Linked DNA regions of Macaca fascicularis. The protein of the gene in region 2 purifies or fractionates together with the protein of the main gene of each other region. This does not show direct contact. Links are inferred from orthologs where the notes say so. Each region holds a gene or a part of one and is shown on either strand. Other genes may lie near its edges.

Region 1 (4,178 bases), on a different chromosome or scaffold from region 2:
CTGCCCCAACCAGGGCAGCATACACTTCAGAGAAATAGTTAGGTCTAACCAACCTGGAGAGCTCCTGCACCATGGCCCAACCCCTAACCCCCACCCCTCTAAGGGCCAGCTCTCCAGCAGCACAGGATGCCCAGCAGAGTTGGGGACACCTTACCTTGCTTCCACTGATGGTATGGAACTTTTTCTCCAGAACCTTCTTCACAGGTTCTTCTTCTTTAAAGGTGATAAACACAAAACCTCGTCTTTTGTTCAACTTTGGATCCATTGGAAGTTCAATGGCCTCAATCTGCAAAAAGCATAGGCAAACTCAGGCTCAATACCTCTCTACCCCAGAGCATATAGGGGACTCACAAGAGAAAAGACCCCACTGAAGGCAGAGAGTGAAAAATAAGCCCTGCCTGGGAGGGTCTACTCAGCCAAGGATACCAAGGACCAGAAAGAAGGCAGCCTTAGGGCAGCTGATGGGCTACTCCCAGGGCCACACTCACCTCCCCAAACTCGCCAAAGTACTCCCTGATCTTTTCCTCAGTGGCTTCAGGATTCAGACCCCCAACGAAGATTTTCTTCACTGGGTCCTTCTTCATAGCCATGGCCTTTTTAGGGTCAATGACACGGCCATCCAGCCTGTGCTCCTTCTGGTCTAGGACCTGTTCCAACAGAAAGGGGTCAGGCTGACTCAGCAGCATGAGCCAGACAAGGCCCTTCTCTCTAAGCCATGAAGACACCAGCACAGATAAAAAATGTGTTTCACCCCCTCCAAATTCTACCCCAGCTTAACTTCCCAACCCAATTTTCTTCAAACCTCAAGTACAGCTGGTTTACCTCGACACCTAGAAAGCAGTCCTCACCCTCAAGCCTTTGATCATGCTCTTTCTGCCCAAGCAGTCCCAGCGTGAGGCCCATCTCCAGAAGCAAAGCAGCAGGGACTCAGCACAGGCTGAAGATGGGCTGCAGGGGATGAAATCCTCGCTCCACTCCCTACTAGCTGTGACCTCTTCTACTTAAATGTCTGAGCCTCAGGGTTTTGGTTTTTGTCCTGTAAAATGGGGCTAACAGCCTATCATAGCAATCTTAGACTCTCTTGTAATCCTCCCAGATGTTTAGCACAGTGCCCAGAATAGGCACATAAAAGGTAATGAATGTCAACTATAATCTTCCCGAACCACTCCAGCACATACTCTCACTCCCAGCTTAATTTGTATTTTCATCCCCTCAAAAACCGGAATATAACCTCTGGCTTTGCCCAAAGCACTCAACCACATGCAGAACACACAAACTAGTCATGCTGTAAGAAAGGTGTCCTCTTAGAATTCAAATCGTTTCCACTGAGACTGCTGAAATCCAGCACCCAGCTTACCTTCTCCACACTGGCTGCATCTTTGAACAGGATAAACCCAAACCCTCTTGACCGTCCAGTGTTGGGATCCATTTTTATTGTACAGTCAACGACCTCTCCAAATTTAGTAAAATAGTCTTTTAAATCTTTTTTGCTAGTATCCCAGCTCAGGCCACCAACGAACATTTTTCTGAAATGGTAGGGTGAGACACATGGCAACAAGTCTTATAAGCAAGCTGTGATTTTGGAAAGGACTGGCCCTGGCAAAGCTCTCACAAAGTCTACAGCTACCCTTAGAGTCTGCAAGGTGCACCTTAGAAGGATGTTAAATCTCCACTACCCTCCAAATTCAATTCAACCAGGACCCTAACGAAGCTTAACAAGGCTCTGCAGCCCCAGGCTGTGAGAAGCAAAGAAAGGACCACCTCACCAGGGACATGGGCCCTAACTACTCACAACTGGAAATTCATTTGTTATCTACAACCATGTATCAAAGGGCCAGCGTCTTCGCCACCTCCTGAGAACTCTTTTCAAGGAACTCGATGCTTCCGGGGGCCAAGCCCGCCCAGGGTTCAGACCGTGACTCCGCCCCCGGGAAAGGCGGAGGAGGGAGGCCTGGGCCCCGGCTCGCGCCAACTCCGCCCACGCAGCCCCGGCGCGGCCCGAGACGCCGCCCGGCCCCGGGTCCGAGCGCTTTCCCTCTTCCGGGCCATCCGCCCGCCCCTGCGCCGGCTCCGGCCCCGGCAGCGCACAAACGGCCCCGGGGCGGCGCCAAAGTTGACCCAACAAACTCCTGCAAACTCCAGCGCGAGTGGCAGCGCCAGGCCCGCCCGCGAACGCAGCGGCGACAGTCCGCGGGCCGCACCGGCCCCGACCCGGGCCAGGCCGCCGCCCCTCCCCCCGCCGCGTGGCGCCAACAAAAGGCGGCCCCGGAACAAAGGCGGCGCCCCCGTCCGCCCGCGCCCGCACCTACCCCGCGTCCTCCTCGTTCTTGCTGGCGTTGATCTGGTCGCCCTCGGCGCCGTTCTGATTCCCGCTCGGGGGCGCCGCGGTCGCGCCTCCAGCCCCCGCCGTGGCGCCCGTGCCAGCCCCGGCCGGGGACTCGCCTTCAGGGGCGGCCTCATGTCCGTTCTCGGTGGCGCCCGTCGTCTCCATGGGCTGCTCCTCGCCCGCTTCCGACATGCTAGGCCGAGGCGCGGCGGCTCCTGCAACCAGCGGCGACAGCGCGTCAGGCCGGCGCGGCTCCCGCCAGAGCTCCCGCCCGCCGGCCGCCGCTCACCTCGCCGCCGATGACGCCGCGGGGCCCGCTCGTCCCCACCAGCCGGGGAAGGCGCCGCGGGCTCGGCCGCACTCAAGCTCGCGCTGCTGAGGCCTCGCCCCAGTCAGCCCACGGAGCTGCTCCAACTGTGTCTCCTCCTCCTTGGCCGCCGCCGCCGCACGGGAACCCACCGACACAACCAAGCTCCCTCCCGCGCGGTGCCGCCGCCTGACAATGCCGACTCGTGGCGCCCTTTATAATGCCGGAGCCGGGGCCCACTTCGCAACAAACTGCACGCTCATTGGCTGCTCAAGTCCGTCACTCAACCTAGCGTCAACGTCCCATTGGCCGCGGCGGCGCGCGCGCTCTAGACGCGGGCGGGCTTTGTCCTCATTTTAGAACCCGCGCGACTACGGCCCGTACCGAGGGCTCCGGCAGCCGGGCCGGACCGCGCCGGGTCCAGGGCGGCGAGCAGCCACAGCACAGCGGTGGGAGGGCCTAACCGGACTGTAAGCTCGTCGAGGCCCTAGTCCCTTGCTCTCGAGCACTCTATCCCAGCATTGGCAGCCTCCGCCTCCCCATGTCCCAAAAGAGGAAACTAGGCTGGAGAAAGTTTCGCAGTCCAAGGACGCATGGCTGGAAGTGGCAGAACCCGGGCTTCCGAGGTTGGGAGAGTGGGGGTCCTCCAAAGCCCTCAGCACGGGTCGGAGGGAGGGGGCTGAACCCGCCATCCCCCTGGACCTTGGTGTCCTCCAAGCCCCGCGCTCGCGACCTGTCCGTCGCCTCCCCCCGAGATGCCCTGCAGGGACTATGAGACCTTGGTGTTTCCCGATCCTCGGTCCCCTGGCACCACCTTAACGATTGACATCGCATTTGTACTTTTGTTTACTTACATTTTTCCTTTAAATCGTTTGTCTTTTTCTTCCTTTCTTTTTTTTTTTTTTTTTTTAGATGGAGTCTTGCTCTTGTCGCCCAGGCTGGAGGCAATCTCGGCTCACTGCAACCTCCTCCCGCCCCGGCTTCAAGCGATTCTGTCGCCTCAGCGTCCCTGAGTAGCTGGGATTACAGGCGCCCGCCACCACCTCCGGCTAATTTTTGTTTTTTTTTGGTTTTTTTGTGTTTTTCAGGCTGGAGTGCAGTGGCCGGATCTCAGCTCACTGCAAGCTCCGCCTCCCGGGTTCACGCCATTCTCCTGCCTCAGCCTCCCGAGTAGCTGGGACTACAGGCGCCCGCCACCTCGCCCGGCTAGTTTTTTGTATTTTTTTTAGTAGAGACGGGTTTCACCGTGTTAGCCAGGATGGTCTCGATCTCCTGACCTCGTGATCCGCCCGTCTCGGCCTCCCAAAGTGCTGGGATTACAGGCTTGAGCCACCGCGCCCGGCTAATTTTTGTATTTTAGTAGAGACAGGGATTCGCCATGTTGCCCAGGATGGTCTTGAACTCCTAACCTCAGGTGATCCACCCGCCTCGGCCTCCCAAAGTGCTGGGATTACACGCAGCCACCGCGCCCGGCCTATGTTTCGTCTTCGTTTGAGACAGGGGTCTTGCCCTGTCGCCCAGGCTGGTCGCAAATGCTGAACTCAA
Region 2 (3,652 bases):
GATTTGTAAGAGTGTAAATGTAAAACTCTTTCTTACTGGAATGTCCTTTACAGAAGGTTGAGATAGTCATCTGAGCCTTTTTGAAGTAAAAAACTGCAGGTGAAAAAGGAGTTAGTTGAATTGAAAGTTTTATGTGAAATTCTGGGTTGTGTAAATAAAAAGTTGCTAGGAATTGGCAAGGTAGTGAAGTGGTGACTCATGCAGGTAATGTAATTGTTAGATTTTTTAGCAAATCAGATAGGCATATGTCAATATAAACACAATGTTGAATTCAAACAATCTGTTGAATTAAATTCTGCTGATTACAGTAATTCTAATTTAAGAAAAATTCCAAACTGTAGATTTATTTTTCTCTGATCAGTAAAAAAAAAATTGAATTCCAGCTTGACTTTAGCTGTTGAAGTGAGAAGTCTGAGAAGGTGCATGTTAATGAGCCAGTGACCCATAGGTAGCTAGGTTAAAGACACTTTGGATTTGGATAATCCGGGAAGCAGTTAATCCCTAATTGTTGAACAGGCAGTCCTGGGTAAAGAGGACCTAAAATGCTGCACTATTAACAGCATTAGACGGCCAGGTTTGTACTTCATAGATTTAGGCTGTCTTCTTCACAAGTTTTAGAAGAAGAATTTAGGAGCTAGAGCCCTGGTGCAGGATCAACAGCAGCTCATACTCCTGTTTCAAAATAATTTGGTCGTGGCCTCCCTTCAGTTTTAATGTGGCACTGGTAAATCTACCTGGTTCTGGCATGCTTCACTTTGATTTCCTGCTATCCTCTACTGCTTGCCTCTAAATCAAGGTAAAGAGCAGAGCAGGTATGTATTAATGTCACATTGTCTTGATTATTTTAAATACTTAAAATATACATGTTAAACCTTGGTATTAGTTTCAGAGGCAGTTTACTTTTCAGTACATAATTTAAAAGGAGTGACTTGGTGGGAGTGGGGCTTTAAACTGAAAATTGGAACAACAGCATGATGTGGAGAAAAGTTGTGCAGCGTTAAGTACATGCAAAAATTAAATAACCAAGTTTTCTCTACATAGCATATATGTTTACATTGGATGTCAAAAGTAACACAGTATTTGATATAATTACAGATAATTGTGATCTACATTTTAAAATATCAAGAGATCGTCTCAGTGCTTCTTCCCTTACAATGGAAAGTTTTGCTTTTCTTTGGGCTGGAGGAAGAGCATCTTATGGTGTGTCAAAAGGCAAAGTGTGTTTTGAGATGAAGGTAAATGCAATTTTATGATGTTTTTGTTTGATTTTGGAGACAGAGTCTCACTCTGTCCCCTAGGCTGGATTGGTGTGGTGTGACCCAGGCTCAACTGCAACCTCCTCGTCCTGGGTTCAAGTGATTCTTCTTGCCTCAGCCTCACAAGTAGCTGGGACTATAGGCACGTGCCACCACACCTGGCTAATTTTTGTATTTTTAATAGAGAACGGGGCTCCTGACCTCAGGTGATCCACCCACCTCGGCCTCCCAAAGTGCTGGGATTACAGGCTTGAGCCACCGCACTTGAGCCAGCCTTTTTTTTTCTTTTCTTTTTTTCTTTTTAAAATAGTGACAGGGTCTCACCATGTTGCCCAGGCTGGTCTTGAACTCGTAAGCTCAGGTGATCTGCCTGCCTGGGCCTCCCAGAATACTGAAATTACAGGTGCTTCATACTGCTAAGTTATCAGAGGTACTTATTTTTTGAAGCTTCCTGTAAATTAAAAGAGGAACTTGGAACCTTCATTTTGTTGTGACAGTTAAGTTATGTTAGAACTTGACATGCAGAGCTAGGCAACTTTTTATTTAGGGTACTTCATTTTTATCAAGCATTTGAAAGGGCCACCAAAGAGTGAAAAATAAAATTTGGTTAGATTACAGGTTTTGTTGGCGAGAAAAACATTAAATGTATCCTTTAATTGGCTTTAAGTTGAAGACTGACAACATGAACTGTAAAAATATTAACTATTCTTTTAAGTATGGGTCAAATAAGTATTTAACATTTCAAGTTATAAGCACATCAGTTTAAAGTTCTTACAAATATTAGGGATGGGCTAGAGTGTGCCATCTCTTTGTATTTATAGCTCGAGGAAGATTAGCTCATGACCCTATGAAATAAGCCAGAGTTAAGGGGTTACCTCCTTGGTTTATGATTTTAATTATTTAATGATTCGACTTTCAGGTTACAGAGAAGATCCCAGTAAGGCATTTATATACAAAAGATATTGACATACATGAAGTTCGTATTGGCTGGTCACTAACTACAAGTGGAATGTTACTTGGTAAAGATTCTTTTTGACTGATGTGGGCTCATGAATGTTTAGGAGGGTCTGATATCCTTATTTTTTAACCAGACTAGAAGGCATTCTAAGCCTTTTGTCTGTTTTTATCTATTCTGTTAATACTTCAGACAAGTAATATTAGCACATAGTAGGCACAGGCTACATTTTAGTTTTTGTTCCTTTATTAGAAGTTTATGGTTGAAATAAAATCTTACCCATGATATGCAAATTGTCAACTAATTTGGTCTCTGCATATATATATATCCCTCCTAACTTTCATCAATTCTAGTACAGAGGTAGAAAAGTAATAGTGTCAGTGACAGGTGATTAGGTTATATGCTCATTTCTCTTGTAGCCTACATTTTAAGTAGTGAAATAGATGAGTCTTTGGACTATTTTAAAAATCTGCTTCACGAAGGTTAATTACTTTCTTAGGTGAAGAAGAATTTTCTTACGGGTATTCTCTAAAAGGAATAAAAACATGCAACTGTGAGACTGAAGATTATGGAGAAAAGTTTGATGAAAATGATGTGATTACATGTTTTGCTGTAAGTTAAAGCTAACTTTCTATGTATAAATGGCAAATTAGTAGCTATATCTAGGAACTTTTAAGAAGCTTTATTAAGGTCAATCTTCAATAGGAGCAACATAAATACACCAGTCCCTGGGTTAGTATAAATACTCATTCAGCAGTTGAATTGGGAAAATACAGGACATTTTTGAGGAACTCACTAATTTCATTTTGACTGAAAACAATGAAGATGAAATTGACCTAGAAAATTTAGTCTAACTTCTAGGTCACTATTGTTTCTGGTTCTGGAGATCCGTGCTTCATTGTTTGTAACCATCAGATTTCTTAACTGTGTAGCCCTTAGAGGCCACTTAATAGTTGTTTAACCTGTAGCTCCCACAGGATAAGCTTTGCTCCTAATTTTAATTATTAGTTTTTTAGAAAGTTTACAGGAAGCAGATAACTTGAATTTTTTGCTGTTTAACAGAACTTTGAAAGTGATGAAGTAGAACTCTCCTATGCTAAGAATGGACAAGATCTTGGCATTGCTTTCAAAATCAGTAAGGAAGTTCTTGCTGGACGGCCACTCTTCCCGCATGTTCTCTGCCACAACTGTGCAGTTGAATTTAATTTTGGTCAGAAGGAAAAGCCATATTTTCCAATACCTGAAGAGTATACTTTTATCCAGAATGTCCCCTTAGAGGATCGAGTTAGAGGACCAAAGGGGCCTGAAGAGAAGAAAGATTGTGAAGTAAGTGATTTTTTTTTTTTTTTTAACTGGCATTTGAATATTGTTTGACTGGCACAAAATGACATTTAGAAGAGGTAGATGATTAGTCTGTTTACTTTGTGCTGTACATATTTCT

What was found.
Region 1: the proteins of HNRNPU (region 2) and HNRNPAB purify together in Homo sapiens (affinity purification with mass spectrometry; 4 studies listed by BioGRID and IntAct, with this or other methods). This does not show direct contact. The link is inferred for Macaca fascicularis from reciprocal best matches to the Homo sapiens genes HNRNPU and HNRNPAB.

What each region holds. Positions count from the first base shown.
Region 1 is NC_088380.1:184,982,977-184,987,154, reverse strand, and holds the start of HNRNPAB (heterogeneous nuclear ribonucleoprotein A/B), read right to left. Parts: upstream 2,825-4,178; 5' UTR 2,616-2,824; intron 2,542-2,615; 5' UTR 2,519-2,541; coding exon 2,310-2,518; intron 1,527-2,309; coding exon 1,358-1,526; intron 648-1,357; coding exon 489-647; intron 287-488; coding exon 155-286; intron 1-154. UniProt on the Homo sapiens protein: Binds single-stranded RNA. Has a high affinity for G-rich and U-rich regions of hnRNA. Also binds to APOB mRNA transcripts around the RNA editing site.
Region 2 is NC_088375.1:4,318,097-4,321,748, forward strand, and holds part of HNRNPU (heterogeneous nuclear ribonucleoprotein U), read left to right. Parts: intron 1-1,095; coding exon 1,096-1,235; intron 1,236-2,175; coding exon 2,176-2,275; intron 2,276-2,710; coding exon 2,711-2,823; intron 2,824-3,273; coding exon 3,274-3,537; intron 3,538-3,652. UniProt on the Homo sapiens protein: DNA- and RNA-binding protein involved in several cellular processes such as nuclear chromatin organization, telomere-length regulation, transcription, mRNA alternative splicing and stability, Xist-mediated transcriptional silencing and mitotic cell progression.